Arabidopsis thaliana: one gene and its partner. The protein of the gene in region 1 interacts with the protein of each later gene in a pairwise test. Each region holds a gene or a part of one and is shown on either strand. Other genes may lie near its edges.

What was found.
Region 2: the proteins of AT5G57035 (region 1) and WAV2 interact in a protein complementation assay, tested with the Arabidopsis thaliana proteins (one large-scale study listed by BioGRID).

What each region holds. Positions count from the first base shown.
Region 1 is NC_003076.8:23,076,425-23,085,171, forward strand, and holds AT5G57035 (U-box domain-containing protein kinase family protein), read left to right. Parts: upstream 1-4,222; 5' UTR 4,223-4,318; coding exon 4,319-4,532; intron 4,533-4,614; coding exon 4,615-4,736; intron 4,737-4,825; coding exon 4,826-4,941; intron 4,942-5,026; coding exon 5,027-5,142; intron 5,143-5,248; coding exon 5,249-5,553; intron 5,554-5,634; coding exon 5,635-5,736; intron 5,737-5,836; coding exon 5,837-6,265; intron 6,266-6,349; coding exon 6,350-7,099; intron 7,100-7,179; coding exon 7,180-7,395; 3' UTR 7,396-7,564; downstream 7,565-8,747. Other genes in the region: NMT1 (myristoyl-CoA:protein N-myristoyltransferase), read left to right, coding at 1-331; LUT2 (Lycopene beta/epsilon cyclase protein), read left to right, coding at 974-1,267, 1,356-1,527, 1,609-1,744, 1,851-1,961, 2,030-2,132, 2,220-2,363, 2,446-2,553, 2,629-2,725 and 3 more; AT5G57040 (Lactoylglutathione lyase / glyoxalase I family protein), read right to left, coding at 7,611-7,699, 7,791-8,078, 8,212-8,377, 8,642-8,692.
Region 2 is NC_003076.8:6,940,977-6,950,091, reverse strand, and holds WAV2 (alpha/beta-Hydrolases superfamily protein), read left to right. Parts: upstream 1-3,577; 5' UTR 3,578-3,776; coding exon 3,777-4,014; intron 4,015-4,303; coding exon 4,304-4,339; intron 4,340-4,469; coding exon 4,470-4,548; intron 4,549-4,659; coding exon 4,660-4,714; intron 4,715-4,806; coding exon 4,807-4,923; intron 4,924-5,620; coding exon 5,621-5,785; intron 5,786-6,206; coding exon 6,207-6,435; intron 6,436-6,548; coding exon 6,549-6,556; 3' UTR 6,557-7,137; downstream 7,138-9,115. Other genes in the region: BRXL4 (BREVIS RADIX-like 4), read right to left, coding at 1,520-1,959, 2,051-2,149; AL5 (alfin-like 5), read left to right, coding at 7,246-7,345, 7,546-7,578, 8,147-8,375, 8,520-8,655. UniProt on the Arabidopsis thaliana protein: Involved in the regulation of root growth. Involved in the suppression of the root bending in response to touch stimuli, gravity and light. Negatively regulates stimulus-induced root bending through inhibition of root tip rotation.

The DNA of each region.
Region 1 (8,747 bases):
CCCTGAAACTCACGATGTCACTGACTTCTGCAGCTTCTACACTCTCCCTTCAACCATCCTCGGTAACCCGAACTACACTACATTGAAAGCTGCGTATTCTTACTACAATGTGGCCACACAGACCTCGTTTCTTCAGCTGATGAATGATGCGCTAATTGTCTCAAAGCAAAAGGGTTTCGATGTGTTCAACGCGTTGGATGTGATGCACAATGAGAGTTTCTTGAAAGAACTGAAGTTTGGGCCAGGAGATGGACAACTTCATTACTATCTCTACAATTACCGTTTGAAAAGTGCCTTGAAGCCAGCGGAACTCGGGCTTGTTCTCTTATAAGCTCAACAACTTGATTTGATGGTATCAACAAACTTGAAATTTGTCTCTCTTTTTTTTTCTTCAGTCTGAACTACTTCTCCCATGGTTTACTGAAACTGAGTTTAATTATTTTGGCAATGCAATTTTGGATTTTGCTTTTAGTTTCACTTGTGTTCTCTGAGAGAGTTGACCCTGAGAAGTAAAGTCAACACTAGACGTGTGCGAGTTTCAATGGACTGCATTTTTAGGTCCAAGAAGTAGCTACGGCCCATCTATCGTAGAAGTTGTTTTTTGTACTAAAGCCTGTTATAGCCGAACTAGGTCGCTACGTTTCCTAACTTGTCGTTTATTAGGCTACTTTTAAATCGCACGCACCAATCCAGTTCTTACACGCGTTTTCACAAAAAGGACCTTACATGGGTTGTTCCCCCAATAAGAAAATTACACGTTGCAGAATCGAAGCAGTGGTCTATCCTTGTTATCGTCCTCTCGTCTTTATGGCTCTTCCAAGTCATTTTGAGAAATTTTCGATTTTGAGATTTTTTTCCAAATATTACAAAAGGAAATAATTAGATTCCTCTTTCTGCTTGCTATACCTTGATAGAACAATATAACAATGGTGTAAGTCTTCTCGCTGTATTCGAAATTATTTGGAGGAGGAAAATGGAGTGTGTTGGGGCTAGGAATTTCGCAGCAATGGCGGTTTCAACATTTCCGTCATGGAGTTGTCGAAGGAAATTTCCAGTGGTTAAGAGATACAGCTATAGGAATATTCGTTTCGGTTTGTGTAGTGTCAGAGCTAGCGGCGGCGGAAGTTCCGGTAGTGAGAGTTGTGTAGCGGTGAGAGAAGATTTCGCTGACGAAGAAGATTTTGTGAAAGCTGGTGGTTCTGAGATTCTATTTGTTCAAATGCAGCAGAACAAAGATATGGATGAACAGTCTAAGCTTGTTGATAAGGTCTGTTTCAATGTCCCTTGCCTTGTTTATGAAGAAAACAAACCACTATTCGTTGTGTATTTATGGATTTGATTGTGGATTTTTGTAGTTGCCTCCTATATCAATTGGTGATGGTGCTTTGGATCTAGTGGTTATTGGTTGTGGTCCTGCTGGTTTAGCCTTGGCTGCAGAATCAGCTAAGCTTGGATTAAAAGTTGGACTCATTGGTCCAGATCTTCCTTTTACTAACAATTACGGTGTTTGGGAAGATGAATTCAATGGTAAAAATCTCAATGATCCATTGTTTTAGTCACTATCTTCATGGTCTGTGTTTAACATGTTGTTTATTGTTACTGTTGAAGATCTTGGGCTGCAAAAATGTATTGAGCATGTTTGGAGAGAGACTATTGTGTATCTGGATGATGACAAGCCTATTACCATTGGCCGTGCTTATGGAAGAGTTAGTCGACGTTTGCTCCATGAGGAGCTTTTGAGGAGGTAAAGTATGGTTCCACTATGCATATCTTGAGAGGCTTTTTCTCTAGTTATTTTTGCATGACTTTGAACTGTTTTAAATACATAATTTGTTATTAATGTCTTCTAGGTGTGTCGAGTCAGGTGTCTCGTACCTTAGCTCGAAAGTTGACAGCATAACAGAAGCTTCTGATGGCCTTAGACTTGTTGCTTGTGACGACAATAACGTCATTCCCTGCAGGTAACAAGTCAGCTAGTACTATTCTGGTTTTACCACTACGAAAAGGTTCTGACTTCTAGCAAATGCAGGCTTGCCACTGTTGCTTCTGGAGCAGCTTCGGGAAAGCTCTTGCAATACGAAGTTGGTGGACCTAGAGTCTGTGTGCAAACTGCATACGGCGTGGAGGTTGAGGTATAATTTGAATATGATATTCCACAGCAATAACTATATGGAGGAATCATTGTTCATTGAGACTGTTTTTCTATTTGAAATCTTCAGGTGGAAAATAGTCCATATGATCCAGATCAAATGGTTTTCATGGATTACAGAGATTATACTAACGAGAAAGTTCGGAGCTTAGAAGCTGAGTATCCAACGTTTCTGTACGCCATGCCTATGACAAAGTCAAGACTCTTCTTCGAGGTTCTCTTTGGTGTTTCTCTCTCCTTCTAGTTAAATCGTTATTGTGATAAGTCTGTTGCTCATCAGCTGGAAATCCTTTCAGGAGACATGTTTGGCCTCAAAAGATGTCATGCCCTTTGATTTGCTAAAAACGAAGCTCATGTTAAGATTAGATACACTCGGAATTCGAATTCTAAAGACTTACGAAGAGGTAAGAATTGGTGGTCCTATATCAACATAGAAACTTCTTATTTGCTTTTTTAATTCGTTTAATATAAAACTGTAGGAGTGGTCCTATATCCCAGTTGGTGGTTCCTTGCCAAACACCGAACAAAAGAATCTCGCCTTTGGTGCTGCCGCTAGCATGGTACATCCCGCAACAGGTAGTAAGAGCAAGAAGCCTTGACCCGATGTACTTTTATTCACATCTTGAATCTGTACCATCTCTGACTTAGCTTTCCCCCAATTAAACAGGCTATTCAGTTGTGAGATCTTTGTCTGAAGCTCCAAAATATGCATCAGTCATCGCAGAGATACTAAGAGAAGAGACTACCAAACAGATCAACAGTAATATTTCAAGACAAGGTGAGCTCTATATAAACCACAAAGTTAACTATGCTGTTCTTTCACACAATGAGAAACTTTTAAAACTTGTGATTTTCTATTTTTTGGCAGCTTGGGATACTTTATGGCCACCAGAAAGGAAAAGACAGAGAGCATTCTTTCTCTTTGGTCTTGCACTCATAGTTCAATTCGATACCGAAGGCATTAGAAGCTTCTTCCGTACTTTCTTCCGCCTTCCAAAATGGTAAGCAAGACACTGATTCGTGATTCATAACAATGTTACTGTAAACAAGAAAATTGATTCTTCTTTTCACTTACTCAGGATGTGGCAAGGGTTTCTAGGATCAACATTAACATCAGGAGATCTCGTTCTCTTTGCTTTATACATGTTCGTCATTTCACCAAACAATTTGAGAAAAGGTCTCATCAATCATCTCATCTCTGATCCAACCGGAGCAACCATGATAAAAACCTATCTCAAAGTATGATTTACTTATCAACTCTTAGGTTTGTGTATATATATGTTGATTTATCTGAATAATCGATCAAAGAATGGTATGTGGGTTACTAGGAAGTTGGAAACAAACATGTATAGAATCTAAGGAGTGATCGAAATGGAGATGGAAACGAAAAGAAAAAAATCAGTCTTTGTTTTGTGGTTAGTGACCGAGAAATGTTTAAATCAACAAGAGTAAAAATGTTCAACACATGCTTTTAATTTTTATCAATTTATTTCGCTTATATTGTTTACGATTGCCATTTATTTTAAATATGATCACTTTCGTGTTCCTAAGTGCAAATTACTCAATAATCTATACACATTATTTATAAACAAGAAACTGCTAATTTTGGATTAGTGAAACTACAAGTGGTTAGTGTGCCGTCTTTAATCATTAATCTAATATTAACAAGAACAGAGAACAAGTATATGTTCGTTGCATCACATACAGAATCTAAGAACAAGCACCACATAATTATCAATTAAATTAATCAATCCAATGAAACTTCTTCTTAACCCTTTAAAAAAACAATTACTAGTCAATAAAATCACTTCTAAATTCGCTATTTGCACATTTTATTCAAAATGAATTATATATCTTTATTAATGTCAACCCCTTGAAATAATATAGAACATTCTTTCTAATATTTTTCTCACAATTATATCAATTAAAACCTTCAAAATTATCAATAAAACGACCATATCTTAAATTTCACAAAAATATAAGTCCCAACATAACAATTTTTTCGAAAAAGACTTTTCTAATAAAGTAGGCGCTTTCAATTTTCACAACAGTCAATAAATACATCACCCACTTTTTCTATCCAAGTCAACTAAAAACGCGGGTCTTCTTCTCCAAAACCCATTTCCTCACAAAATCCATCTGAGAAAAAGAGCAACAAGTTTCATTTTCATGGTGGTGATGACGAACAAATTCTTCGAATTAATCGGCGGAGCTCCGTCGTATTCTTCAGTATCCGTCGCTGTTAAAGGATCCGTCGGTGACGCCGTAGGAGGAACTGCTAGTCGTCGTGCTCTTCGTTGGACAATCGAAAATTTCCTTCCTAAAATCGATAGATTAGTTCTTGTTCATGTCATGCCTACAGTTACTACTATTCCATCTCCTTGTAAGTCTCGATTCGAATTTTTTTGTTAAATCAATTTCGAGATTCATGAAAATTTAACACTAGTTTTTGTTTGATTTAAAAGCTGGATCGAAGATTCCAATAGAGGAATTGGATGAGAGTGTTGTGTCTATGTATAAACGAGATTTGAGAAAAGAATTTGAACAAGTTTTTGTTCCGTTTAAGAGGATCTGCAAATCCAACAAAGTGAGTTTCTGTGAAAGCTAAATTTATGATACTGATTTTGGAAGTTTTGGAGAAGGCTTATGGAATAATTTTACTGGTTAAATGTTTAGGTTGAGACTTTGTTGTTGGAACATCATGATCCTGCAAAGGCTCTTTTGAAGTATATGTCAGATACTGATGTTGAGTGTTTAGTGATTGGCTCTTGCTCTTCTAATTTCCTCACAAGGTAATGTTACATAATGGGATTTGATATCTAGTATGTGTTTGTATATGGTATGATCTTGCTTAGACGTTTGGATTGGTTTTGACAGGAAAAAAGGACAAGAAATGCCATTAACGGTGCTAGGAGAAGCTCCAGAGACATGTGAGATATATGTTGTTTGTAAAGATAGAATCTTAACCAAATCGACGAATCAGTTTACCGCAGGTATGTTTCAATTGCATTGATCTAAAATCTGAAGTCAAGAAGGAAAAAAATACAAGTTTTATTGATTTCCCCTGTGGTTTTTGTTTCTGTGTGAAATTTTCAACAGATTCATCATCTAGTTTCCGTATACCAGAAGGAGCTGAAGCTTATACAGAATCTTTCAGTCGCACACGCTCTGATAAGACAGGGTTGTCTGCTTCATCTATAACATCTTCAGGCAGGATGAGAATTGGAAGGCCTGGCTCTTTACCGCATAGTCATCCGACCTCTCGAGTGTATTCTGATGCACAGTCTTCTTCAACTGATATTGTTTTGGTCGATGACGAACACTGTCGTTCTATCCTTAGGCATAGTACTGTTTCCACTAGTAAAATACAGATGGATCCTAGACCTCACTTAAAAACACCAAAGGTGAAGCATTTAATATATGACCATTTTGATTCTCTGTGACACAAAATGCATATGATTTTGATCCAAGATCTGTTTTTGCAGTCAGGTGTAAGAGCTGAGGTAGAGCAGCTAAGGAAAGAAGTGCAAACCACTCTTTCCATGTACAAACAAGCTTGTGAAGAGCTAGTTCATAAACAAACACAGGTTGGAGTTCTAGAAGAAAACTTTTTTTGTTCTCGAAATCCTTTCCTAATGTTTTTACATCTTATGGATTCATAAACTCAATCCCATGTTGTGACCTCAGGTCCAGTCTCTTTCCTCTGAGTGTATCAAAGAAACAGAAAGGGTCATCACTGCTCTGGAAAAAGAAGAAATGCGAAGGAAAGCAGCAGCAGAAGAGAAAGAAAAGCATCTAAAAGCTGTAAAAGAAGTCGAGGAAGCAAAATCAATGCTAGCCAAAGAGTTCTGCGAGAGGCAATTAGCCGAGCTAGATGCTCTCAAACAGTCCATAGAGAAACAGAAAGTCATTGAGCAACTCTTCTTGAGAGACGGGCGATACAGAAAGTACACAAAAGAAGAAATAGCTGCAGCTACAGATAATTTCTCTTCCCGTAAAATAATCGGCGAAGGAGGATATGGAAAAGTATACAAATGCAGTCTTGATCATACCCCAGTAGCTCTTAAAGTTCTCAAACCTGATTCTGTTGAAAAGAAAGAGGAATTCTTGAAAGAGGTAAATTACTAGTAGTCTCATGGCCTAATAACAACAGCAGCCTTTAACACTCTGAGATCTGAAATCAACTATTTTACTTTGCAGATCTCAGTCTTAAGCCAGCTTCGTCATCCCCATGTGGTTCTTCTCCTTGGTGCTTGTCCTGAAAATGGATGCCTTGTCTATGAGTACATGGAAAATGGTAGCTTAGATTGTCACATCTCTCCCAAAAAAGGGAAACCATCTCTCTCATGGTTTATCAGATTCCGAATCATCTATGAAACAGCTTGTGGTTTAGCTTTCCTCCACAACTCTAAGCCTGAGCCCATCGTCCACCGTGACCTCAAACCAGGCAACATTCTCTTAGACAGAAACTTTGTCAGCAAAATCGGTGACGTTGGACTCGCAAAACTCATGTCAGACGAAGCACCAGACAGTGTGACGGTTTACAGAAACTCGATTATCGCCGGTACACTCTACTACATGGACCCGGAATACCAACGAACCGGCACAATCAGACCGAAATCAGATCTTTACGCATTTGGAATCATAATTCTCCAGCTTTTAACCGCTCGACATCCCAACGGTCTTCTTTTCTGCGTTGAAGATGCAGTAAAGAGAGGCTGTTTTGAAGATATGTTAGATGGATCAGTCAAAGACTGGCCCATAGCCGAAGCGAAAGAACTAGCTCGCATTGCAATCAGGTGTTCGCAGCTCAAATGCAGAGACAGACCAGATCTTAGCACACAAGTCTTGCCTGCTCTCAAACGTATTCTTGAATCTGCAAATAGTAGACTCAAGACAGAACAAGCTAACGCACGAGCACCAACTCACTATTACTGTCCAATTCTTAAGGTAAATCGAATAACCGATGCACACCAACCACAATTCTCGATGGCTCAGGTTTTAAAATGTTTGATTCTGGTTGATTGTAGGAAATAATGGAAGATCCACAAATAGCAGCAGATGGATTCACATACGAACGAAAAGCGATAAAAGAATGGATTCAAAAACATCAAGATGTGTCTCCTGTTACTAAGCATCGGCTCAAACATTCTGATCTTACACCGAACCACACTCTCAGATCGGCTATACGAGAGTGGCGATCTCGTTCACGCTTAGACCTCTCCACTACTCTTGGCTCCTACTGATCACACTAATATATATACAGTCTAGTCTAATTCGTATATTGACTAAATACCCTGAACTTGTTTGAATCGGGTGTATCATCTCTGTGAATATGTATTGTGGTATTATATAATAAGTCAACAAGGATTTGGTTTGCTTTTTGCAGTTCTATATGAAGAGCATTTACAACTGATAATCAAGTGAAAGTTTAGAGGATTCATCTACAAATAGACTCAAATCAAACTTGGGTGAACTCAAGAGCGTTTGCGTCTGGATCACGAGTAAATATCGCTGGCCTCCCTGACTTACTCATTGTATATGCAATTCCTACAAAATCAAAAAATCTTCTTCAGAACGAAAGGAAACATCCTTTAAGCCAAAAGAAACTAAGAAGAAAGAATAAAAAAATATAAACTACCAGCTTTGTCTAAGATCTCTTTCAGATTTGAAACATCACGGATTGCAATACAAGCGTGTCGATCCCGGCCTCCGTGCTCGGGTCTACCTGTTAATGGATCTGGATTTGGAAGCTCCATAAGATGAATCATTTCTGAACCTACCCATAACCATGCTCCTCTATATGGAAGCTTGTCGTGAGGCCTTGCTTCGTTGATCTCAAGGCCTAAAATGTTCTGGTAAAACTCGAGTGACCGTTCTAGGTTCTCGCAGAGCAGACCGACATGATGAACCCCAACAACTCCATAATCTACAATAACAATCAACAATCAAAACTGGTAATCCGAGCTTAGTGTCTATAGATAAATGGTGACATTTGCTTAAAATGTTGTAACCACTAACCAGCAGACAATCAACACAATTACTTATTATCAGTTAATTACCGGTTTTGTTGTTAAGCTCTTTCTCTTGTACAACACTAATCCCTTCAATTGACGATCCTTGTGCCTTAGCCTTCAAGCTATAAAACCTAACATTGATCCTTTCTTTCCTCACACTCTTCTTCTGAAACTCAAACCGCTCTTTCGTAGAGAGATTCGTGCAAATAACCTTCCAAATACCAAAAAAGATTCATCATCAATGATCAATCCAAGGTAAAGTAATCGATTTTGAATGATACTCACAATCCTAATTTCTCCTTTTAACTCAATTACTTGAAAACTAAAGAAAAGAAGCCCTTAATTGCCAAATTTACAAGATTAGCGTCTAGGACTATCTCAAGATCATCCAAAAGGTAAGAACCCTAAACAACAATTTCTGGAAATCGAGTAACCTAACGCTAGGAGTGAATAAAGAAGCTTATTTGTTTGATACCTTTGGTCGTAAATCAAGTGAAGCTGAAGAAGGTCTGAAAATAGAAGCCATGGAAGAGAATCTTGGATTAGGCTCTCAACACAGGAGCAAGAGTTTTTTTTTGTCT
Region 2 (9,115 bases), about 16 Mb from region 1:
TTTAAAACTGAAAGAAGACAAAGAATCGAAGCCAGGAAGAGACAAACTCCGTTGAAGTTGTCTTGTCGTTATCAATAGGCGTGAACAAAACTGTGCTAAAGAGGCTAAAGCTATTTGCTTTGTTTTATTTATAGTATATCTTTTTGTCTTTTAGAGTAAAATATATATATATATATATATATATATATATATTTTTGTCTTTTGGAATAATAATAAGAACCATATTTTCATATGCTCCAACAACAGCAATAATTTGATTACAGGACAAAGACGCGGAGAATAAGGAATCAATAAAACAAAATTCTTTATTTATTAGAAAAACGTTAAAAATTATTGGTGAAAATGATTTAATATAACATGTACCAAACAATGATTTGGAATGTTTTATTAAACAAAATAAATAAGGTTCGTTACATTCGTAAACATCTAACAACTCCATAAAGATTTAAGTTAGTAGCAAACTTATCAGACACATTCTAGAGTGATTTCATACACTATGTATGACTGATAATTCATAGGTTTAACCAAAGTTTGAAGAAAACAAAAAGAGGAGGAAAAAATGATTATCAGTCAAATAAGTTTATATTGAGAAAAGCAAAAAAAAAAAAAAGACAGAATGAGAAGAGATGACCCCAGAAAGCACTTAAAAAAGAAGACACCCAATTTTGCTTTTTGGACCTTTTACGGCCTTTGCTTCTCATTAGGCGTGAAGCGTTACTGTCGACAACTCTGTCCCCATTCTCTCTTTATTTTTACCTACTTTCTTTCCCATTTTCACACTCAGAAATTCACAAATTACCCATCTTCTAGTTCAATATTGGGTAAATAATTCTTTTTTTTTTAAAACCTCAGATACATTTCACTTACTGTCCTAATTTCGTGGGAATGTTCAGTTTAATTGAGTTTAGAAATGCACCAAAATTCATTGGCAAATTTTTAACTCGATTGTAACTTTGAACTATTTTATTTTATTTTACCTACATAAACATATGACCCAAAATGAAAAAAAAATCATACCTGAGCCAAGATCAAATCAAAAGTAAAAACAAAAACTGAAAAACCTACAGTTGGGCCCTGTTATTTTACCTCCTATAGAAATTTGCAATATTCAATTTGTAAATTCGAGATACTATATTATTTTAAAAAATTTAGGTAGTAGATTTTCTACAAAAGACATGGCATGATTGTTGTTAGATTCGTATGCTCTAGTATTTCACTTATTTTCAACAATATATTCCCTAGACATGGAAATCCACAAAACCATATTCATCTACGCTAAATTTCAATTTAATCTCTATCCATATTTTATAAAGAAAAAAAATAAGAGATCAAATTCAGTTCTGTGTTCCTAAGAATCAAGCATTTTCCGAACATTCTCACAAAATCACGACCAAAACAAACGTGCTAAAAACAAACGAGGCAACGACGAAGCCAAACTAAACCTAACCGTACGATAAGAAAAACAGAGTCAACAAAACAATCGTAACCGTAGGATGAAGTAAGGTGCACAGTAACGTACCTGAAACGTATCCGCTTGAGATCATTACCACCGCCGGGAAGAGAAACGAAGGTTATGAGAACTCCGGGCTCAACCTGAGCAACCCATTCTTTAGGCTCTTTCTCCTCCACAAACACAATCGGGTCGACCCGGTTTCTCCCACTCGCCGATTTCGGAGTCGCTTCGCCGCTCGAAATCCCTTTTAGTCTCGCTTCCATCTCCTTTCCCCAAACCCTAGGCTGTTGTTGTTGCGTCGCCGCCACCGCCGCCGTAGCTGTAATCGAACTGTTTGATCTTCCGTAAAGCATTTTAAACCGTTGATCCGATTCGAAATCCGACTTTACCGACGACGACGACGGATTGTTCTTGATCGGACCTTGTCCTTGTCCCTGACCTTGTGCCGCCGTACACGGCGTACAATGCCGGTAAGCTCCTGATGCTTTCAGAGCCATATCTTTGAGCTGATATTGAATTGACGAAAATACCCTCAATCAGAAGAGAGAATTACGAAAATTGGAGACGGAGGAGAAGAGTGAGTTTATTTCAATTTACCTGAGATGTTAGAGATTTGGCGTTTTTAGAATCTGGATCGTCTGGTTGACCGGAGGATTCATCGCCTGCTCGCTTCGAACGAGCTATACACGTCAGCATTTTCCGGTGACTGGCTTGGTCTTTGATTTGAGATTTTTTTTCTTTCTCTTTTTGGATACGGAGAGAGAGAGACAGAGATGGTGTCAGTTTCTTCTACTTTGGTTTGGGTTCGGTGCTCTTTTTATGTTTTATTCTCTCTTTTTTTTTATAATTTCTGCTTAAGAAACTTTAAACCGGGATTACCGGTTTCCAATAAAGGTTCCGCGTCTCACTACGGTAATTACGCAATCCGGTGGTTAAAATTTCGAAAGTGAAAAAAGTAAAAAGTTTTGGTCTTGCATAAGGTAAGGTAAATCATTTTTGTTTGTTTACTGATTAGCTAAACTTGTACAGAGGTTAGACTATATACATGATTTTTGGCCTGTGGATTTAGACTTTCAGAGGTATCAAAGGTCGTTCTTCACACTCAAGTAGCCAAGTGTGCTGCAAGATTTGAAGTTAATCGATATGTATGCAAAATTTGACTCTGACTTTTGAGAAACCTAAAACGAAATAATTTATTATGTGTGGTTCTAAGCTAGATCACAATAATAAAAAGTTGTTCTTAGCATTATTCATTAAATGGGTACTGTAGTGTGTTGTTCATAACGCTTCTGATGGCAACTCATTGACATTTAATTTAAGGATAGCAATATGTTCCGTCCGACAATATTTATGTATGTGACGTCTTCGTCTACATTACATTTCAAGTGAATAATGATCCAACGACTCGAAAATATTAATAGTGTAAGTATTTTTGTTGTTGTTGTTGTTGTTGTAAATTTGGTAATGTACTAAACTGAAAATTAAAATGTTTTGGCAAAGGGTGGTGGTCCAAGACTTGTTTAGTTTACAAACAACTCTTCAGTATTTTTCTTTTTTTTCGACCAGCCACTATGGTCTTGTTATCGTTGAGTGTCAATATAACCTTTCTGAAACATTACACTAGGGTCACTAAGATAAATTGGTCTCTTCTCCACTTTTATTATTTCATATACAAATTTGTATGTACCAAGATCTTATCCACAAAATTTCGTTTTTCCCAAAACTATTATAATATTATTAAAGAGGTCAAAATGGTTTGTGCTTGTTTACAATATATTTAAGTTTTTTTTTGCTAAGTTTCTTACAACATTTCAAAATGCATGACAATGATTTTACTTAACTCATTTAAGCAAATAACTTCGCGATACAAACAAAAATCAAGTTACTATTATATAAAAATCAAGATAGAAACTGTAGAATAATCTATATAATTGTTGAGTACAAACTTTACAACTTAGCCGAACTATTGATTAGAGTTCATCGGGAAATGTCATATTTGAGTATTGTTGGTGGACTCGCAAATGAACAATTTAGACCACCAAATAGAGCTACATTTTCTTATGGTGAAGACTCAAAATCGGTTTGGGTTTAGCGCATAGATGGGCTTTAGTTTCGGCCCAGTGAAACTCTGTCTCAATCCTTCTCACCTGTAAACTTAAAAAAAGAAACGAAGAAGCTCTTTTTCTCCCCTCTGAAGAAGAAAAGCAAAATCCACGAGAGAAACAGATAGAAAGTTGCAAAAGTGCGTTCGATTTTTGCTTCTTCTTCTGTTTCGGATTCGGATTTGGATTTGGAATCTGCTCCTTTAGCAGAACCAGAGGAAATGGTGACGTACGTGAGCGCGTTGTTCTACGGATTCGGAGGGATAGTCGTCGCCGGAGTGGCGCTGCTCGTGGCTTTCCAGGAGAAGCTTGTGTACGTCCCAGTGCTTCCGGGTTTAAGCAAGTCTTATCCGATCACTCCCGCTAGGCTCAATCTCATCTACGAAGATATTTGGCTTCAATCATCCGATGGTGTACGTCTCCACGCTTGGTTCATCAAGATGTTCCCTGAATGTCGAGGTCCACACTCTCTTTGATCATTGAGTCTCCTTTCGATTCAGTTTTTTTTTCCTGGTAGATTTGATTTTACATTTTCGAATAAGCTTTTGAATCTACTGAATTTTGAGGGATTTTAGGTCTTGATGTCTCTGTCTTTAGCTAGGTTTTGGATTCCTTTTCTCAGATTTGTGATCCCTAAGTCATTTTAGCTTTAGTTTGGAACTTATCTGTCACCTAAAATCTAGTTGCTTGTGGTTGGTAGCTTTAGCCTAATTCGAAGTCTTTCTAATAGTTTATGTTTGGCATGCAGGTCCAACCATTTTATTTTTCCAGGAGAACGCTGGAAGTATCCTTTCCAGAGCCATTTCTTGGTTTTTGTTTGTTTATATTTGTATGCTCTAAGGAACCTATTTTATGTTCCATGTCTGTTAGCTGGGATACTTTGTCTTGTTACGACCTTGACCTTAGAATCCCAGACATCGCTCATCGTCTGGAGATGGTTCGCATCATGATACAAAAATTGAAGTGCAATGTATTCATGCTTTCATATCGCGGGTTAGTTTCAGTTTGCTGGTTTCTGGTCTATCTCTTATATAAATTGTTTGTTTTTGAGTCTAAACCTTGGATCTGTTTATACAATGCTTATTGATTTTCCCGTGCAACCAGCTATGGGGCAAGTGAAGGCTATCCTTCACAACAAGGTATCATAAAAGATGCTCAGGTTTGCTTGTCTCCCTAAATTTATCCACATATCTCTTCTGTTGCGTCTCCATGTATTCATTATCCATTTTCTTGCCTGATATTTTTTGTTAGGCTGCATTGGATCACCTTTCTGGAAGGACTGACATTGATACATCTAGAATAGTTGTATTTGGAAGGTCCCTTGGGGGAGCTGTTGGAGCTGTGCTTACCAAAAACAATCCAGATAAGGTACTATTAGTACATATTGCTATTGGTAGCATTTCATGAGTAGGGAAAATGTATATTTTATTAGAAGAGAGACAGTATAGGCCAAGTACCAGCCGCCAGCTCTGTGGATGTTACTGTTTAAAGGGAGAAGTATTATTGAGAGTCCCACATGGTTACGAATGAGACTAACAAATGCCTTATAAATTATAACGCCTAAGGGCACCTTCCTCTCTCCTCTAGGGGCTTGGTTTGGATGGCTTCTTATCAGTATATTAATGAGATTCTGGTTACTGTTGCAAATTATTATAACTCATGGTCTTTGGCAGATGACCTGGAGTCCAATTGTATAAAAATTTCTAGAGTACCTCTTTATTTAGATTCTAGTCACTTATCATCAGTAACAATCTACGCGGTTTGTACTATCTGAATATAATTATTTTTTGTGTTAAAGTTTTAGTCATCTGGCAATAAAAGAACCTGGTTGATAGGGGTATTCGTTTGAGCTTTGTTATAGGCCTCCTTTTATCACCCCCACTGATATTTACTATTATATGCACAAGAACCTTATCCTTCTCAGAAAATTTCTTGGTAAATGAAATTTGTAGATGCCTTGATTAAGCTATTATTTTTGTTCTTGTTGTCTCTACTTCCAGTATTTCATTTGATATCCACACGCCTTATAGTTGTATGTTTACCATTTCTCAATGTCGCTATATAGGTATCTGCATTGATTCTGGAAAATACTTTCACATCCATTCTTGATATGGCTGGCGTTTTGCTGCCGTTCTTGAAGTGGTTTATTGGAGGAAGTGGTACGAAAAGCCTGAAGCTTCTTAATTTTGTTGTACGTTCTCCCTGGAAAACAATTGATGCTATTGCTGAGGTAAGATGCAAATGTAGACTCTTGCAGATAGATGTTAGATGGATTCTTTTCGTTTACTGTTTGCATATGCCATAAAATGACTCATTTAAGCAAAAAACACTATGGTACCCCAATGACCTCACTGGCATATATATTAATATATCTCATGCATTTGCATTCCTTCATTTCCTTTTAACGGGACATAGTGTATATATCTTTGCGGAATATGTTGAATTCATGATAAGCTAACCCGAACTATAAAATTATTCATGTATGCCGCAAGCTGATTGATTGCTCCCTGATTTGTTCTATGGAGTAAAACTTGAAAGGAAACAAGAAAGGAGCTTGATGTGCTGCTAAAAACATATCCCTGTTAAAAAAATGTCTCATCGTTTGATTTTCTGTAGCAACCTGTGATAAACTGATCTTGCAACAATGACAGATCAAACAACCAGTGCTTTTCCTCTCTGGACTGCAAGATGAGATGGTCCCTCCATTTCACATGAAAATGCTGTATGCGAAAGCGGCTGCCCGTAACCCTCAGTGCACATTTGTGGAGTTTCCAAGTGGGATGCATATGGATACATGGCTGTCTGGTGGTGAAGTTTACTGGAAAACAAACTTGCAATTTCTCGAAAAGTATGCGCCTGAGAAAAGGAAAGAAGATACAGGTAAGATGATCTACCAAGTATAAGTAACAATTTTGTTTTACAGAGATGTTTCTTGGGATGTTTTTCCCAAAGTAGAATACTAGGCTTGACGTTGGTCTCTAATCTGATGACAGGAAGGTAACGATCAACGATGCTGTGTTTAGAGGAAGATTCGACTCACTTATTTCCTATTGCAACCTGAAACGACGGTATTGTTTGTTATAAGCATGTGTATACGTATGTTGCATTTGGGAGTGACAGATACAACTTGTTCAGAGAGTGAGATATTGGACAGGAACTTTTGTAAGCAGAACCAGCTAGTGGAGATGGCAAGTGTAAGCTAATCAGATGCATTTGCTTCGTCTCAGTTTTCCTTCTTTTTTTTGGGTTATTTTTTTTCCAATTGTTGTTGGTGTTTCTCATCTGATCGTAACTATTTCCTCTGGATGATCATGGCTTTGTAGATGATTGAGAAAAGTGAAAAAAGACATGGTTATATGATTATATCTTGAATGTGTTGATTACGTCTGTCATTCATAATATTTATGAAATCTGTAGAGTAGTTTTTTTCCCGACAAACTTGATTATGTTTGAAAATGAGATAACACCAAACTAAACGCACGAAGACATTATTAATGTCCATTATTTATGTATTTTTATTTTTAAATAAGTGTTGTGACTAGACCGGGTCGGTCACTGTCCACGGGGCAACTTTTTAGTCTGCATTAAGTTTTCTTACTTTATCACTTAAGAACAAAAATTCTGCTTTAGAAAAAAAAAAGAAGCAAACCTCACTGTTCTTTCATCGTTTCCGAGAGAGGAGAGACGGACATGGAAGGAGGAACTGCGCACTACAGCCCTCGAACTGTCGAAGAAGTCTTTCGAGATTTTAAGGGCCGTCGAGCTGGCATCATCCAAGCTCTCACCACTGGTCTCTTCTTTCTTCTCTTTGCTTTTTAAAGTTTGAAACTTTTCTTATGGGTTTTGAGTTTTTCGTGGGAATTCTTCTCATGACGATCGTTTGGTGGCTTTATTTAGACCCTTTTTCAACAATTGTGCTCTAGTGTTATGGATTGTGTTGATGATGCTTAGTTCTTCGAATTAAGAACAATTAATTTCTTTTTTTTGCAGATGTGGAAGATTTTTTCCAGCAATGCGACCCTGGTTAGCTTTTTTCTCTCTCTAGCCTTAAGTATGCTCTCAAGCTGTTTCAGTTATTCCTGATTTTGAATATGCAAAGTTGAGATGGTAACATAGGCTTGTCCAAATCGACACTCACACTGAAAAGTATAAGATCTTGCTCTGCTGCTTACATGTGTTTTGGTACTGGTGACTGATTATGTTGAACATTTGAGCAACTTTTATTTTAGTTCGGTGGTTTGGTCTCCCCATGAACTATATACTCTTTCGCATTTGGTGCTGTTATCTTTCTCTATATCTCGCTTTTGACTTCATGCTTTGTGCCTTGATCGACATAACCATAACCATTTAGAGGTTGCATGTCTCTATGAAATTTCTTGTGGCTCTAAAACTTGTTTTAGTTAAGAGGAATATATTAATTTTTTGTCATCAATATATTAATTTAATAAACATGATTTCGTTATTGAATATAGCTGCTTGTCTTGATTTTACGTAGCTAAATATCGTTTTCAGAGAGTATTTCGTTGCTTTCTCTGCTAATTAAGTAGCGTTGATAAACTGAAGTTTGTATGACTGTTTTATGACATTTCAGAGAAGCAGAATCTCTGCTTGTATGGATTCCCAAATGAAGTGTGGGAAGTTAACTTACCAGCTGAAGAAGTGCCTCCTGAGCTTCCCGAACCTGCACTCGGCATTAACTTTGCCAGAGATGGGATGCAGGAAAGAAACTGGCTTTCTCTCGTTGCTGTCCACAGTGATGCGTGGTTACTTTCTGTGTCTTTTTACTTTGGTTCAAGATTTGGTTTCGATAGAGCTGACAGGTATCATTCTTTCTTTCTTGGTTGCTGTGTTTTCTCTTCTAACCTGGTGTTCGTTGTTTAATATCTTCTCTGCTCAATTCTCTACCATTAATTATCATGATATCTGAAGCATTTCCATACTAACCCGTACACTTACAAATTCAGGAAGCGCTTGTTTAGTATGATAAATGAGGTTCCTACTGTATATGAAGTTGTAACTGGAAATGCAGAGAAGCAAACAAAGGAAATGCCCTCTTCAGCAAATCAAAATGGCAACAGATCCAAGTCAAATTCAAAAATGGTAAGTCTCATGCTCTCCTTTAATAAGATACAGAACATTAATTATGAACTAAGAACAAACCAAATCCTTTATTAACTATGAACTGGGAACTATGAACATTAATTACTATGCTACTCTTCCAAACCCTTTCTCAACTCAGTATCGCGATCCTATCACCTTCGGTTCTCTATATAACTCCTCCCATAGTACACTAACCGGTCTAAGTTGTTCGTTAGTTGAGCTGACAACTCAACTACAATCCTACAGAAAAAGGTCTATGATTGTTAATGGTATCCTGAAAGTTTTGCGGAAATAGCTCTTGTTTCATTCTTAGACCTTCTTTTCGATACTCAAGCTTTGTCCTTCGTCTACTCTTATCATTTTTTGTTTTGTCTTGCAGTATTTCAGAAATTAGGAATGGTTAAATGGATATTCAATAAAGCACAGCACTGGCATATGTTATTCACATTCACATCGTAAA